Arabidopsis thaliana: one gene and its partners. The protein of the gene in region 1 purifies or fractionates together with the protein of each later gene. This does not show direct contact. Each region holds a gene or a part of one and is shown in the gene's direction. Other genes may lie near its edges.

Region 1 (6,445 bases):
CATATCTTGAAGATTTAAAATTGACTCCTAAACCTAACAATCTCTACAATATATTTAAGATTTTAAAAAATTTAGCAGCACTTCAATGTGCACACTATTTTATATGTATGTCTGCTATTGTTTTAACTCATTCAGTATTTGATTCATTTTCTTTCTTTATAAAAAAACAAGAACATAGAGTATAGATCCAAAATAGATTACAAAAACATAGAGTATGATCCAACGGATTTTAACATTGGGTGGATTAGCGTAGGATTATCGAATTTACTGATCCAATTGCGGAATTATATTGGAGTATGACACAATAAATTAAATACAGAAAATTACAAAATAAATTTTATTAAATAGAAAATATTATGATTATGATTTATGATGTAAACTATCAAACCAAAATTGCCACAAATATTTCCTCACGCTGCACATCGTGGATCCTTATCTAGTTTACCTTTAGATTTTCAAACCTCTAAAATTGAAATAATGTTTGATAATTTTCAATAATGCAAAAAAAGAATGAAGAAGAAATTCAATCAAAACAAAAGACAAACATATCACATATAAACTTCATTGTTCTGATGCTTCTTTGATTTAGCAATTTTGGGGAAAAATAAGTTCGAATGCAAAAATAAAGTTTGTAATTATTCAACAAAAAATTCGGGCATACCAATTTTTTTTCTTTCTTTTAATCGTTTGAATGCAATTTTTTTGTTCGGAATATGAACATGGCATGTAGAAAGATGAAATGCTTGCTAGAGCGTTGAAGTTTAGAGAAGCGTTTGTTAGCATGAAAGCTTTTGATACCAATGATAAATTTTTGATCTATTGAAACCTTTTAGTGTTATTATCACTTACTTTTTAGGCTCTAAGTATCCCACATCCAATGTATACTTTACACAAATATGGAGGATTGAGTTGTTGCTGAAGAAGTATGCTATTTGTGATGATGATGTTGTTGAGCAAGTGGCTCAAGAGATGCATGGTAAATTTTCCGAGTATTGGGAAGATTATAGTCTCATTTTGGCTATGAGAGCAGTTTTGGATCCGAAGCTTAAATTGAAGATGCTTGAAGTAGCTTAAAAGAAAGTAAATTCTACTACTTATAAGTTAAAAATTAAAGGGCTCGAGAAGAATTTGATGATATTGTATAAAGTTGGAACTTGGTGAATTAACTTAATGTGAGTTTTTGTAACATAAGATCTATTTGAACTAGAAAGAAGTATTGAAGACGGTGTGAACAACACAAAGACACACTTGGATATTTATTTGGATGAGAGTGAAAGTCTTTTTCGAAATTTGGATGTCTTAAGCTATTGGAAAGATAATCAGAATCGATTTGGCGGTTTAGCTTCTATGACATGCGATGTCCTTAGCATTCCTATTACTAAAGTAGCATCAAACTCAGCTTTTAGCATTGGATCGAGGGTTTTGACTCCATATAGAAATCGCTTGCTTCCAGAAAATGTTCATGTTTGCTTTGTACTCGCAATTGGCTACGCAAGTTTGTTGACTATGAAGGTAAGAGTTTTAAATTGAAAGCTTTATAGGTAATTGAATTATATTAATTAAATTTCATTGTAAATTGTAGGTACCACAGAAGATACCAATGAGTTTAACCATGGAGATACTCGAAAGACTACAAGTAGTTCGAGAGTAGAAGGTTCAAGATCGGAAAAATCAAGTGTGCCATGAAACTTTTGTTTTTTCTCTTTTGTTTTTGAAATATTTTTTATTTTAAGTTTTGTTTTGGTAATAAAACCACTTTTGATATTAAAAGTCTTTATGAATCACATTTGATAAAAACATGGATTTGATTTTACATTTTAAAAGTGTGTATGAATTAAATTTGATAAAACATGGATTAATTTTACATTTTATAAAAAAGTTTGTGTTTTTTTATGAATTGAAACAGCCAACTAATTGGTATATAACTAAATATTATTTATGAAATTTATATAGAGAAATATATATAAGAAAAAAATAAGTCTAACAAATACCGAAACTAGCGGGTCACAAAAATAAACAACGGATCAAAAAATAAATCAAAGAGAAGAAGAAATCTCAACAAATTCTCTAATTCAGTGTTCTTCTTCTTATAGACTCCAAAAACCTCTGAAGAGCCTAATCTCAAAATTTCTAGGGTTTTCTCTAATCGGAACCAAAACCAATGAACTCTTCACCACCACCGGCGAATTCCGCCAACGGCGATACAACCAACAACGGCGAGAACGGTCAAGATCTGAACTTAAACTTCTTAGACAAGATTCGTCTCTCCGCTAAACGAGATGCGAAGGAAGACGAAGGAGAAGAATTACCGACGGAGTTGAATACGATCAATAGCGCCGGCGGATTTCTTGTGGTTTCTCCTGATAAGCTTTCCGTGAAGTACACGAATACGAATCTACATGGTCACGATGTTGGTGTTGTTCAAGCTAATAAACCTGCTCCGATCAAGTGTCTTACTTACTACTTTGAGATTTTTGTTAAAGATTCTGGTATTAAAGGACAAATTGCTATTGGTTTTACTAAGGAAAGCTTCAAAATGCGTAGACAACCTGGGTATTGTTTTCTTTATCTTTGGATTTTGGATCCAATCTTTGTTGATCATTGTGTGTTGAAGTTGTTTAGGGAAGAATCTGAATTTGAAGGATTTAGTTCAAGAAGTATAGTTTTAGCTTGTAGCTTGATCATTGTTGTGTTTAAGGTATGGTTTATTTTAGAAATTGAGGTTTGTGGTATGGTTTTGGGATCCAAGTTGTGGTTTAGTTATTATAGAGATTTAGCTTCTTGGATTAGGTTGTGTGTGTTCTTTCTGGTGAGTTCAGTTGTGTAGAAGTGGTTTAGGGAAGAATCTGAAATTCGAAGGACATTGCTTTGTGGTTTATTTGAAAGCTAGGTTCTTGAGTTTACAAATATGGATGATAGTGCCTTTGAAAGAAGCTTTATCTGCCTAATACTTGAATTTGAGGTTATAGTTTTCTTTTGTAATGGTAGATGGGAAGTGAACAGCTGTGGATATCATGGGGATGATGGATACCTATATCGTGGACAGGGAAAAGGTGAACCTTTTGGTCCAAAGTTTACAAAAGATGATGCAGTTGGCGGTGGTATAAACTACGCTTCTCAGGAGTTCTTTTTCACGTAAGAAAGAAACTGTTTCATGTTTTTTGGTACTTAAATAAGTTCATTACTACTGTGAGTTGAATTCATGATTCATTCATTTTCCTGTTACTCTTTGTCTGTTAAAGCTGATGACATTTTTGATTATTTTTGTTGGTGCCAGTAAAAACGGAACTATTGTTGGGAAAATCCCCAAGGACATAAGAGGTCATCTATTCCCTACTGTAGCTGTACATAGCCAAAATGAGGAGTATGTTCTCACTCTCTCTTTAAAGATCAATACCATTGCCATCATGTATCTCACTCTCTCTTACACAAAGCATATTTTTCTGAAATTTTGGCAGGGTATTAGTCAATTTTGGGAAGAAGAAATTTGCTTTCGATATTAAGGTAAGAGGAAAAATCCTTTCAAACGTGGTTAATTAGGTCTCATAGCTTTATACTAAAGTAAGGATGGTGTAACCAGGACTACTGCTATTGAAATCACATAATAGGTATGCCTCATGTCCGTTCTTGGTACTGGGGTTACCGAATCTATAGCAGTGGTTCTCTTTGTAGACATTGCTCTCACATTTGCTATTTTACTGTTCCTGTGTAATCAAACCTCAAACTCTTGGGCACTCAAGTTATAATCTTTAAACACTGAAGTAGGGCATAAAAATTCTTTCCATTACATATATGTTTGAAATTAAGTAATTGACGAGGGCTGTTTCCCTCTTTCTGTATTATTAGGGATATGAAGCATCAGAGAGGAATAAGCAACAATTGGCTATTGAAAAAATATCCATACCTCCAAACATTGGTTATGGGTGAGTACACTCCTTCCCAGCAGTAACAGATCATGTACTTTTTTAACTTTGAATTGCAATACTTGGTTTCCCTTCTGGACTAGCTTTCTGCTTTATCTATAATTTTGTTTTCTTTATCATTAGGCTTGTCAAGACCTACCTGCTACACTATGGGTATGAGGAGACACTCGATGCTTTCAACCTTGCTACTAAAAATACAGTTCCTCCAATTCATATAGATCAAGAAAATGCTATTGACGAGGATGATTCATCCTATGCTTTGAAACAGAGAAAGAATCTTAGACAGGTATTGAACTTGCTACGGTTTAACATATAAGACATGTTATCTTCTAACTTTATTAGGCTTGTATCTGGCTTTTTTTGGTTCCTATTCAAACCCATACTAAATTACTGCTTCGTTAGTGAATTTGGACTGATTCATTCTTTATTGGGTGTAGCTTGTTAGGAATGGTGAGATTGATACTGCTTTGGCGGAACTCCAAAAGTTGTATCCCCAAATTGTACAGGTGAACTGAGATTTCTTATCATATTGTTGAGATGATCCACTTCACAGGATTGTGATACGAAGTCTTACCCGGCTGTACCTACTGCAGGACGATAAATCTGTAGTTTGCTTCCTCCTTCACTGTCAAAAGTTTATTGAATTAGTACGGGTATGCTCTTCATTCCTTAACCATCTAAATTTCGTGTTCTTAATACTTGTCAGAAATATTCTCTCTCTGTGCATATAAGAATAAAATTTTTGTAATTAAGGAAGCTTTTGATGGATTTGGTGTCTCATACAAAAATTAGCTGCTTGAACTGTGTGATGGACTTTGGTGTTAAACCATAAACTAGTGAAAAAATGCACAGAACCTATAACACACTGGAAACCATGTTACATAGATGCATGGAACCTTGTCACCGTGTATAAATATCACCTTAAGTTAGTTCTCTGGATTATTCCTTCTTTGTTCACTTTCACATCTATGCAGATGGGGCTATTTCTCTAACTATATGGTTTTGGAAAAACATGGCATAAACAGGTTGGAAAACTTGAAGAAGGTGTGAACTATGGCAGACTCGAGTTAGCTAAATTTGTTGGGTTAACTGGATTTCAAGATATAGTCGAGGTACCAATGTCTCCTTTACTCCTTTTTCTTTCAAGCAAGATCTGGTTTCTGAGAATATGTATGTATTGCGTTCAGATACAGAGACTATATATGTTGCTGCTTCGCTTAGGAACTCTATTTTCTTGTTGATTATTCAGGACTGCTTTGCTTTGCTCGCGTATGAAAAGCCTGAGGAATCATCGGTCTGGTATTTCCTAGAAGACTCACAGAGGGAATTAGTGGCTGATGCGGTGAATGCAGCAATACTATCAACAAATCCAAATAAGAAAGATGTGCAGAGAAGCTGTCACTTGCAATCCCATCTAGAGAAACTGCTAAGACAGTTAACCGTGTGCTGTTTAGAAAGGCGGTCACTGAATGGAGACCAAGGTGAAACATTCCGGCTTCGACATGTTCTTAACAACAACAGATAAAGAAGATGAAAATGGCTTAGCCGCGCATATATTTTGAAAACTCTGTTTTTCTATGGTCGTTATCATCATAAGTGGCTTTTGTTCATTACTTGTGTGATATTATGTTGAACTTTCCATTATGTAAAGGAGAAAGTTAGAAAAATGGGTTCGACGTTAAGACACTGGGACTTCCACTGTTATTGGTTCTTTAAAGTTTAGATGATTCAAATTAAGATTTTCAACATTCAAATCAGAAATGGAAAAACTGAATTAGCGGTGGGGGTGTTCGGGTTTAGCGGTATCTTTCGGGTTTTGTAACTTTTGTTCGCTTGGGGTTACCTGAAATTATTCTCAAAAAGAGATTTTATGGTAAACAGAAATTTTTATGAAGAGAATCTTTAATTTTTTATTTTCTTTTCATAATTTCATGTGACGATGTATAAATGTTATGATGGTAAATAAATATTATTGTAAATTATAATCAGTTTTAAACAATCGAGAAAAAACAAATTCTTGTTTAAAATGTAAATTTAATAATTATAATTACAATTTTCACATTTTCAAAATAATAGTAAATATGAAATTTGACCTATCCAATAAAAGCCCAATAACTAATGTAAATAGAGTCTATATTGATCATATTTAGCTTCATCCAATGCTTTTGTGATTAAAAACCCACGTGAAAAAAGGCAATGAGTCCCACATCGGATGCGAAAGCAAGAAAAAATGAAAGTTTGGCTATAAATAGTTAAACATACCGAGTGTTGAACATATATATTTTTCTCATGCTTTGGTTGAAGGTGGCAATAACCTCAAATATATCAGAGGGTGTAGATACTCAACGACTATAGGAGGCAATAACTTGAGCAAACAATTGATTGCAGAAATCCATCGACTAAAGCTGTCACCTGTTTGATTCCAGCTTTTGTCTCCTTACCTGTTGAGTGTCTAAACTCTCTGGTACGTTCATAGTTGTTGCTGCCTTTCGCTTTTTTTTTTACTACACGCAATTGTTTGA
Region 2 (4,632 bases), on another chromosome or scaffold:
TTAGTAGAAATCTTGTCATATAATTAATTTTGTATTAAAGCTAATATGAAAAAGGTGCAAGTCATAAAGCACCACGTACTCTCGTGCACAAAGTCTCACGGGATTTGCATTCTGATCACAAAGATGTGTTTACTACAACTCATTTTATGACCATAATTCTTGTTAATGCCTAAAAATTAATCCGATCCAACTTTAATAGTCTGGACCCAATCGGCCGATGGACTTTAATTACTATTGGTTTTATGAGTTTTGAAAATTCAAAAAGAATATAGAAAAGGTTAAGCAAACTTAAAGTCTTTCGCTGAATTGTAGCTTTTTAGGAATAAGAGTCTTTTTGTTATAAGAAAAAAAGTCTTCCGTTGGCACATATATTATCGCGATGGAGAGAGATCACGACTCACGCGAGAGACCCCCGTGAAAGTTTCATGACAATTTTTTTGGTTGTCGGTCTCGGCCGTGACCGATTAGATGTTCACATCAATGACCCACGTTCCAAAAAAGATGAATTAATTTGCATTTATAAATTCTAATCTATCATCGTTTCAACCATTTTTATATTCAGACCATACGGTAAACCATTTTAGACAACACCATTAGTCATATAGTTAAATAACGAGTAGGGCTACAAAAAAGAGAGTTGAATAGTTGTTCATTGAAGATCTTCTCGAATCTTGACATAGGTACTACTTGATAATGGAATCCAACGCTGTAGATTAACCATGTGCAAGGGAGTGGTTAATTAGTACTATTATATGTATGTACTCTCAATTTCTTTCACTTTTGAATGTTCATTGGTTCTTTCTCTTATTGATTATTTACATTCCCATTATAGATTCCAGTTTTGTCACCTTGTGGGGGAGGCCGATTCACTCTTCTCCTCTTCCCTTTTCTTGGATATCTCAATTCACAGTCCGCAAAAAGAGTTTCTACTGATGTCATAATTTAAACGCGTTATTTTCTCCTATATATTCGTTTTGGTGGGTTTCTCGTATTTTAACAACTATTGAAACAAATAAAATGAATCACACGAAAAAACACACTATAGAGTCTATATCTTCGATAACATATAACATACATGATTTGATGAAAGCAAACTGAGAAAACGTTTTTTTTTTTTTTTTTTTTTCTGTTTTGGTCAAAGAAGATGTTTTTATTTTATTTTATCAAATTATTATATAGTTTTAACTATATTTTTCATACGAGGACAGATTTTTTTTTGCATGTTTGATATCTTAATTTTTTGAAAAGTTTTGTGGTTTCTAGTACCCATAGTTTTCTATTTAAAGTGGTTTCATAAAACATTAAAATTCTGGTTTCGATGTAGTTTTCTATACACACTTTAAAGTGTTAATAGCACTATTTATAGACAGAAACGAAAATTCAACACTAATTGATTATGAAATTTTGGAATTGAGTTCTCACGAGCTTGTGATTATCTGACTTGGACGTTTTTATAAACTATTGTCTTTTTTTGTATCTTAATTTTCGTGGCTTTATTCAAAAGTTAAAAAAAAAAAATTAAAATAATAATAATCAGAAATTGAAATTTTAAATTTACATTACGTGTAAGCAGAATTAACTTATAATTTTTCATAAAAGCAAACAAAATTTTAAAGACTAAATGTCAAATTCAGTTTATTTTCATAGTTTTAAAATTTAACACAAATGTTTTTAAAAATATAATTCACTATTGATTTAAGGTTATTCTTAAATAATGTACAATTAGAAACTTTAGTTACTTCATTAACGGTAAGAAAAAGTTGCCGTTACACTCGTTACAACAGTCATATTTTGTTTTTCACTGCGTAACAATTTATCAAAATGTAAACATAGAGAAGCGGTAGTTGGGCCTTTTTCTCTCCTTTCAAAATATATAATGGGCTTTTTAGTTCACGGAAGACCTAGAGCTTGGAATCGTCTGTAATATACTCCACACTAAAGTATATCTAACACTAAACAAATCCAACGGCTGAGAGTCTTTTATTCACTATAACACGTGATAGTTCTCCCTAACTCGTAAGGATAATAATCTGAAGGAGTGATGAGAAAATATTAACGAAAAACAAAAAAAAAAAGACAGAAGACAAAAAAAAATCACGAAATCTGATTTTCCTCTCTTTTGCTCGAAGCCAAGTCTCTGCTTTTACTTTGATCCACCAACTTCATCTTCAACCTCTCGATTTTAGGTACGTTTTTCCCTTTCTTTGTGTATCTTAGAAGTCTTTTGATTTTCACGCTGATTCATTTCTGGAAGTTTTTCGATTTGGTCTTCATAGATTCCTGAAATCGTTAGTTTGAAATTGATTGAGATCTTTGATTCTATATAGAAAATTTATCTGATCTGTTTATTCTGGAATCAATTTGTGATTAGAGGAAATTGTGTCCTCTGTTTTAAGTTTCTGATTTTGGATTTGAAGATCCGATTTTTGCATCTTGATGATTCATTTCAAAAAATGTCTAATTTTGGTATGATTTTTGCTTGTCTCAGGTAAGATTCTTAGAGTGATTTTGACTTATCTAAGAATGGAGCTAAAGAGCATTAAGGATGCGTTTGATCGTGTTGCGACGAAGCAGAAGCTCTCTTATAGCAAAACTAATGAGATTGTTCATATGTTGTCTCAAGAAATCGATAAGGCTTTGAGCATATTAGAGGAGACACCATCATCAGATACTATGCTTCTTGATCATAGATCTATCCTCGCTGATGTGAAGAAAGTGTTTATGGAGATTGCTCCAATCACTCAACTTGAAGCTACTGAGAAAGAGCTACATGCGGCTTTGACCAAGTACCCTAAAGTTCTTGAGAAACAGCTGAATCCAGACATATCAAAGGCTTATAGACACAATGTTGAGTTTGATACTCATATCGTTAACCAGATTATCGCCAACTTTTTCTACCGTCAAGGAATGTTTGACATTGGTGACTGTTTTGTTGCTGAAACTGGTGAATCTGAATGTTCTACAAGACAATCTTTCGTGGAGATGTATCGGATACTAGAAGCTATGAAGAGACGAGATCTTGAACCGGCTCTTAATTGGGCTGTTTCGAACTCTGACAAACTAAAGGAAGCAAGGTCTGATCTTGAGATGAAGCTTCATAGTCTACACTTTCTGGAAATAGCACGAGGCAAAAACTCCAAAGAAGCTATCGACTATGCGAGAAAGCATATCGCCACGTTTGCAGATAGCTGCCTCCCGGAGATCCAGAAGCTCATGTGTTCTCTCTTATGGAACAGAAAACTCGATAAATCACCATACTCCGAGTTTCTCTCCCCCGCTCTGTGGAACAATGCAGTCAAAGAGCTAACCCGACAGTACTGCAACCTACTCGGTGAATCATCTGAAAGCCCGTTGAGTATAACAGTAACAGCGGGCACACAAGCGTTACCAGTACTATTGAAATACATGAACGTGGTGATGGCGAATAAGAAGCTTGATTGGCAGACCATGGAACAACTTCCTGTTGATGCGCAACTATCCGAGGAGTTTCAGTTTCATTCGGTGTTTGTCTGTCCAGTCTCTAAAGAACAGTCAAGTGATGATAACCCTCCGATGATGATGTCTTGTGGACATGTGCTTTGCAAGCAGACGATCAACAAAATGTCAAAGAATGGCTCTAAGTCGTCGTTCAAGTGTCCTTATTGCCCAACCGATGTAGACATCTCAAGGTGTAGGCAGTTGCACTTTTGAAACGAAAGCTCGGGAATTTGTACGACCGATATAAACTGGAACTAAGTTCTGAATCGGTGAAATCTGTGTCAAAATTGTAACCTTGTGGTGTTCTCTGTTTCTTTTTTTCATGAAGTTTTTTAAGTGATGGGGCTTTGGTGTACAAATTGATCAGGGGAAGTTTTTAGATGATTGGACATCCCATAAGAATGTGTTTTTGGTGTTGTTGCTATTTGTTTGTTAAACCTTTTGAATATAGAAATTCTTTACACTGCAAATTTAGTTTAGATTAGCTGGAACCCTGGAAATTAAGCTCTCTTTTAGAATTACTGGTCACATGGAAATAAAACAAATTGATTTTTGCTGCGCTCATCTGTTAAATAGAGAATCATGTCTTAGTTAATCTAATTTTCGTACAATCATTGTTTGGATGGGTTAGACACATATAACGCTACAATAGAAGTAGTTCTTGAGTTAGAGAATTAGGCTCTTTCTTTATTATATGTGAGGCAAATGTTGGTTTATTGTGTTGTTCGTCTCTTCTTTGGTTAGCTTAGACACTTTGGCCTTTTCAAGACTCGTATTGGTTTCTTCTTTGATTAGCTTAGAGAATTTGGCTGTTTCAAGACTCGTTTTGGTTAGCTTAGAGAATTTGAATTCCTAAACAAGATTTATTGGGCTTAGACCCCAAAAGATGGGCTTAAGCTTGCACTTGTGTATATGTCGATTCATACGTGTGTCTCGTTCATGCGAGTCAGCTTGGTTTTGAATCCACGAATGACGAGACCTATTCTTCTCAAAAGAGTACACAAAATATATCCAAGTTTAAATATACCAAAAGGCAAAAGCAATGAACCACGTTCCACGTATCAAAATTTTCTACTTCAATTTGACCGATTGACTAGAGTGTATTGGTAGTTAATGGGGAACATAATGGGGAACACAATAGACGCACAAAAATTG
Region 3 (5,670 bases), 9.5 Mb from region 1:
ACCAAACATTGAACCTTCCTCACCCATCAAAAATCACAAAAAAAAAAAAAAAAAACTAACCCGAGAAAGAACGAGAAGAGGAACAAACCCTAAATCAGAAAACCCAAAAGTCACGGAATTTCAGCTCCCGGGAAACCCAAATCGAAATTCAGAAGTAGACGCGTAGATCCAGAGATTGTAGAATTTTCAGGTACGACGAAGAAGAAGGCTTGAGAATTGGGTTTTGAAGGAATTTTCGAGGAAAGGTAGAGAGCAGTTGGGATAGAGAAAATAAAAATCGCGACTTTTTGTAGCGACGGTGGCTTCTTTTTATTGCCTTGTTCTCTCTTTTGGCTTTCTCCGAATTGGAAAAAGTAAACACCACAAGGCTATGGGACTTCCGGCTTTAAATAAGGAACGGTCGAACATTTGTTTTTCTTTTTCTTTCATTTTTTTCCATTTTTTCATTATTTAATAATGCATGATTATATATAATTATATTTTATGCGCCGTCATCTTTATTGTTAAAGCAAAATCACAATTTAAACAAAAGGAAACAACTTTAATTAGTAGTAGGAAACTGAAGTGTTTAAGTAATGGAGATTTTTTTGAAGTGTTTGCTAATCATAATTTATTGTAAAAATTATTTTTAATTGTGTGAAAATTAGATTTTCTACACTAACAAAAAAATTTCATATGTTAAAGAAAACAAATATGAAACTAAATCACAAAGATCAATTGGAATTAGACATGTGGATCGACTCATTAGAAAAATAATCATCTCAATCAATAAGAAGAGATAAAACATATATTTGACTAAATGATCTTACCAATCTTGTGGTCATAAAATTCTACAAAGCACTATATTGCTAATTTCTACAAAGCACATTTGTAATCTTCTGAATCATTTGTTAGCCCTAAAAGAAGACTAGTATTATACGAGATCACCATTTTTATGATTGATCAAATATCTTGTAGAGCGCAAAACTTTGTAGGTAGTTTGATGAGAAAGAGCTTGCTTATTATGTGATCAACAATTCCGTTCTTGCCATGTCTCAAAGTAGTTGCTTGCCATATTAATTGATATGAAGAGCCTTTGATTTTGCAGAGATAGGAATTGCCAAAAGAAACCATATGAGGATTGACTCGAGAAGTTTTAGTGTAACTTCTTCACTAAGTCCTTCCAAACCAGTTGGGAAAAATAATATTAAAGAATAAGTGGTCCATTGATTCTTAGTCGGTCAACTAGCTAGAAGACCTCAAATTCTGCAATCGATCCTTTGTCTTATTGTGGTTCCACACAAACAACCATGTGCAAAGAACAAAACATGTTTTGGGACTTTAGTTTGAAGATGCAATTAAACATATTGTTAGATTGTTGACCAAGAAAAAACATATTGTTGAGATTGAAAGATATATTTTGCATCGGACTGCAAAATGTTTATGTCACATATTTGTTACCTAATAGTTGATTTTAATAGAGTATAATAGAGTATCAGTTATTGGTTTTAAATTGTGTATCAAATTCCAAATAATATAGAGATTTTTAACATCAGTCTTATTTAATTATGATTTTAACCAAGTGTCGTTAGCTCAATTGGTAAAGACCTTATGCAAAGCTTAGAGGTCGCCGGTTCGAGTGACGCTTGGGACGAAACTAATATTTTATGCTGTGGTTTCAGGCCTGGGGGATTACGGACTTTGACCCACAACCTCCAAGATTTAAAAAAAAAAATAAAAAAAAATTATGATTTTAAATCGAAATTTTGTTCTTCAAAGGTAAAATAGTTTAAAAATCTTTGGGTATTAAAATCATTTGGAAATGAGTTACATAATACTATCCGGTATATAAAGAACCAAATCCAAAAACAAACCGGTTCCCTTAATAATTTAAACCGGATTATTCATCGACGGTTCGTCAACATCCTAATAATTTAAACCCGATCTCTTCTTCTCTATCGAAAACCTCCAACTTTTTTTTGTTTTATCAGATTGTAAATTTAGGGAAGAGACTTTCGCAAGCAATCTAGAAGCAAATCGATCGCCAAATCTCCGGATTATTTGCAAGAATCGTTCCCAGATAATCTTCCCCAGATTCTCCACTTCTCCAGGTACATCGTTATATTCAATTTTTGAGGAAAATAGTCGCACACTCTCTCTTTCTTAGAACTACCACTCCTGTGCTGTTTTGAGATTAAAGCTTGAATTTTGACTAAAGCCCTAAATTACTTTGTATCACTATCTGATCACAAAGTCAATTTCTTTTGGAAATAGCTCTGATCGGAGTGTTGCTCGAACAGGTATTAATTTCGTATTGAGTGGATTAGATTAGATTTCAAGATATGAGAGCCTCACTGGCGTTCTAATGTCACTGTTTCGTATTTTTATCAATCAGCTTGAAGAAGACGACGAAGATATGGTAATTTTGACTCCTCTTATGAGTCTGTTCTTTGTGTTATTTGATACAACTTGATGATGGGTTTTTGGAAAACTTTAATCTTTATGCACGTTGTGTGACCTAGTTTTAATCGTGGCTTGTCGCAGGCTACTTCGAAGAAAATGATCACACGTGAAGAATGGGAGAAGAAACTAAATGCTGTGAAGCTTAGGAAAGAAGATATGAATACTTTGGTGATGAATTTTCTTGTGACTGAAGGATATGTTGAAGCTGCTGAGAAATTCCAAAGGGAGTCTGGAACCAAACGTATCCTTTTTCTGATTCTGGTTTTGAGTTTTTGTTTATGGAATTGGTGTGTTTGATGTTTAGCTTATCTACTCCTTTTGAACTTCCTTATCGAGAAACAGCAGAGATAGATCTTGCGACCATTACTGATCGAATGGCTGTTAAAAAGGCTGTTCAAAACGGAAATGTCGAGGATGCGATTGAAAAAGTTAATGATTTGAATCCTGAGGTACAATGCTTCTTCATATCTTGTGTGGAGAGTAGTCATTCACTTTTCTGATGTAATAAAGAAGCAAAATCTGATTCTTCTTTGAACCCATGCTTGCAGATACTAGACACGAATCCGGAGCTCTTTTTTCATCTTCAGCAGCAAAGGTTGATAGAATTAATTCGACAAGGGAAGACAGAAGAGGCCTTAGAGTTTGCTCAGGAGGAACTTGCACCACGTGGCGAAGAAAACGTAAGTCTTTGTATTTCACTTTGATTTCTGTCGTTAAAGATGGTGTTTTCCATGTGTATTGCTCATTGACTGTGTGTAATATCTGTTGTTGCTGAAACTTCATTCATACAGTCTGTTATATCTCTCTGCAGCAAGCGTTTCTGGAAGAATTGGAAAAAACTGTAGCCCTACTTGTTTTTGACGATGCCTCTACCTGCCCGGTTAAAGAGCTTCTTGATCTTTCCCACCGTCTTAAGACAGCAAGTGAAGTAAATGCAGCGATTCTTACAAGCCAGAGCCACGAAAAAGGTAGCTTTTGAATTTTGATGTTATACTGGTTGTCTTTTAGTAGCCACAAAATACCATTATAATCTCGAGCATCATTCATTATCAATCTTAAGATTCAAAGTATATGCAACTCTTCTCTACATAACAAGTAAAATTTTTCATTCATTACTTCACCCACAACATGTATCATCCAAGTTCTTCTTGAAACTTTCCATTTTCCTCCATGGTTAATGTAGCAACTCAATGTTTGTGAACAAACAGATCCTAAACTTCCAAGCTTGTTGAAGATGTTGATTTGGGCTCAAACTCAACTGGACGAGAAAGCAGTGTATCCGCACATTAATGATTTGTCTACCGGTAAGCTCGAAGACCCGTCAGAATGATTCCGTACTTCTTTCAGCCATTGGAAATCAGTAGCAAAAAGGAACAATGAATGGTGCTCTCTTCTCTTCCCGTCAATCTCAATAACTTACAATTCATATGCTTTCTGCTTTTCCTTTTCTTCTGCATCGGGATTTGTTGGACCCGCAATCGTTAGGATATGGGGAGGGGAACATAAGCTTTTGTAGGCAATGAATTACTCTAGTCAAATGTTCTTATTATCAACATATTTGATGACTCATTGCATACGTGCATTTGATTTGAATGAAGTTATCGACTTTGTTTGGATCTTTGTGTTTGTTTTGAGGAATATTTTTGTTCCAAAAGGTTCGAATTGTAAACAAGAGAGATGGCTTATTCATCCCATGTATAGTTACATGAATCAATGAATCAACTTGGCACGGTTCCTACTTACCTAGAAAGCAACATGACCTATTGAATTGAGTGCTGTTACCGTCGAAATGGAGAATCTCTGCGAACCGTACTGAAACATCATTTGATTTTTCTTCTTCTTCGCAAAATATTATTTTGGTACTGACACAGCTTTGAATCTTGCATGACATGGTACGAAGTAAATAAAGGGAAGTAGTAATAGCAACTTTTTGATATATAAAATAGGAAACATAATCCACAAGACTCAAGACCTTATGTTGACTCTAGCCATCTCAATCTTGCATGATATGGTCTTCCGGATCATAGGATTTGGAGGGTTTGCTCTCCACCTCATCTTCGGATGCGGGTCGGCCCAAATTGCTTTGTCCGCAGTCAACATCTGCAAACTCCTCAGACACGAGCGGCACCTTTTCCTTGATGCTTCTAAGTTTGGCCTCTACCTTCTCAGCTTCATCAACTACATCTGACACATAATTAAGGATCCATCCGCAGTTCGCTGCACATACCCCTTCCTGCAACTCCTCGCGTAGCCCTTCCTGGAACAGACACGCCAGCTGCTCTTCCTCCAACTCTCTTCCGAGGTTCTTGACCTTCTTAAGGAACTCGTTATAATACTCACGCACTGTCTCTGTTCCTTGCTTCACCTCAAAGGCTTCCCAGCTCAAGGCAATGTTGACGTCAACCAGCTTAGACTCATCGAAGGCTCCGCGCTCAGAAGCTTCTCGGGGTGGCTGATCCTCCTCCCCAACTACCCCTGTGAGCTCAAAGTTTTTTGGTTCACCAGATGTCTTGATCGACCTGGTCTGCCTGCGGGTCAATAATTCATCGAGTTTTATACATTTAATAATTTGTTACAAAATATGAAAACAAGGATAGTTTTCAGTTAGAAAAACAATTTATTATCTTAGAAAATCATGACTATGCTAAATCTAATATATTTAAATAAAAAACTTTACATCAAAATTCTAACAAATTATCAAATATTATGGATTTGAGGGAGTATAAATTATCATTATAATTCAACAAAATTAAAACTGAATTTTGCGAAAACATAATTTATATGAAACTCGAGTATAAAAATGATGACTCGAAATGGATCAAATAGAATAAAGCAATCGTAATGTCGAATAGTGGAAAAGAGATTTATATCTTATTTTATTTTGTCTGAAAAAGATCTATCTTCACCTATTTTTATTGAACTTTAAATATTTTAAGCAAAAATAAAATTGATTCAATTTGATATAAAATGAGCAAAGACCTTTTGATCATGATCCTTTACAAGATTTTCATTTCATGCTTTATCATTACAGAAAAAAAAAATCTAACAAACTAATCTGAAAGCTAAAAGATTGAAAATAATATAGTTTCTTAATATATTTTATCAAAATCATTAATAGATATTGTGAAATAGATAATAGAAAATTGAGAATATCTAAGGAACTTACAAATTGATATTACTTCTTCCATTAGTCATTGTGGAGAATGAAGAAATAAAAAAAATGGGAAA

The links.
Region 2: the proteins of RanBPM (region 1) and AT4G37880 purify together in Arabidopsis thaliana (affinity purification with mass spectrometry; 2 studies listed by BioGRID, with this or other methods). This does not show direct contact.
Region 3: the proteins of RanBPM (region 1) and AT1G61150 purify together in Arabidopsis thaliana (affinity purification with mass spectrometry; 2 studies listed by BioGRID, with this or other methods). This does not show direct contact.

Annotation. Positions count from the first base shown.
Region 1 is NC_003070.9:13,050,639-13,057,083, reverse strand, and holds RanBPM (SPla/RYanodine receptor (SPRY) domain-containing protein), read left to right. Parts: upstream 1-1,990; 5' UTR 1,991-2,161; coding exon 2,162-2,553; intron 2,554-2,988; coding exon 2,989-3,135; intron 3,136-3,277; coding exon 3,278-3,364; intron 3,365-3,458; coding exon 3,459-3,504; intron 3,505-3,846; coding exon 3,847-3,923; intron 3,924-4,046; coding exon 4,047-4,209; intron 4,210-4,360; coding exon 4,361-4,429; intron 4,430-4,516; coding exon 4,517-4,576; intron 4,577-4,948; coding exon 4,949-5,035; intron 5,036-5,172; coding exon 5,173-5,448; 3' UTR 5,449-5,927; downstream 5,928-6,445.
Region 2 is NC_003075.7:17,807,660-17,812,291, forward strand, and holds AT4G37880 (LisH/CRA/RING-U-box domains-containing protein), read left to right. Parts: upstream 1-1,977; 5' UTR 1,978-2,186; intron 2,187-2,488; 5' UTR 2,489-2,523; coding exon 2,524-3,690; 3' UTR 3,691-4,000; downstream 4,001-4,632.
Region 3 is NC_003070.9:22,540,584-22,546,253, forward strand, and holds AT1G61150 (LisH and RanBPM domains containing protein), read left to right. Parts: upstream 1-1,913; 5' UTR 1,914-2,090; exon of another isoform or gene 2,091-2,279; 5' UTR 2,280-2,344; coding exon 2,345-2,398; intron 2,399-2,523; coding exon 2,524-2,683; exon of another isoform or gene 2,684-2,720; coding exon of another isoform or gene 2,721-2,784; coding exon 2,785-2,891; intron 2,892-2,990; coding exon 2,991-3,122; intron 3,123-3,253; coding exon 3,254-3,410; intron 3,411-3,650; coding exon 3,651-3,772; 3' UTR 3,773-4,435; coding exon of another isoform or gene 4,436-4,970; 3' UTR 4,971-5,078; downstream 5,079-5,670. Other genes in the region: EDA16 (SNF2 domain-containing protein / helicase domain-containing protein / zinc finger protein-like protein), read right to left, coding at 1-27; AT1G61160 (retrotransposon gag), read right to left, coding at 4,436-4,970, 5,609-5,637.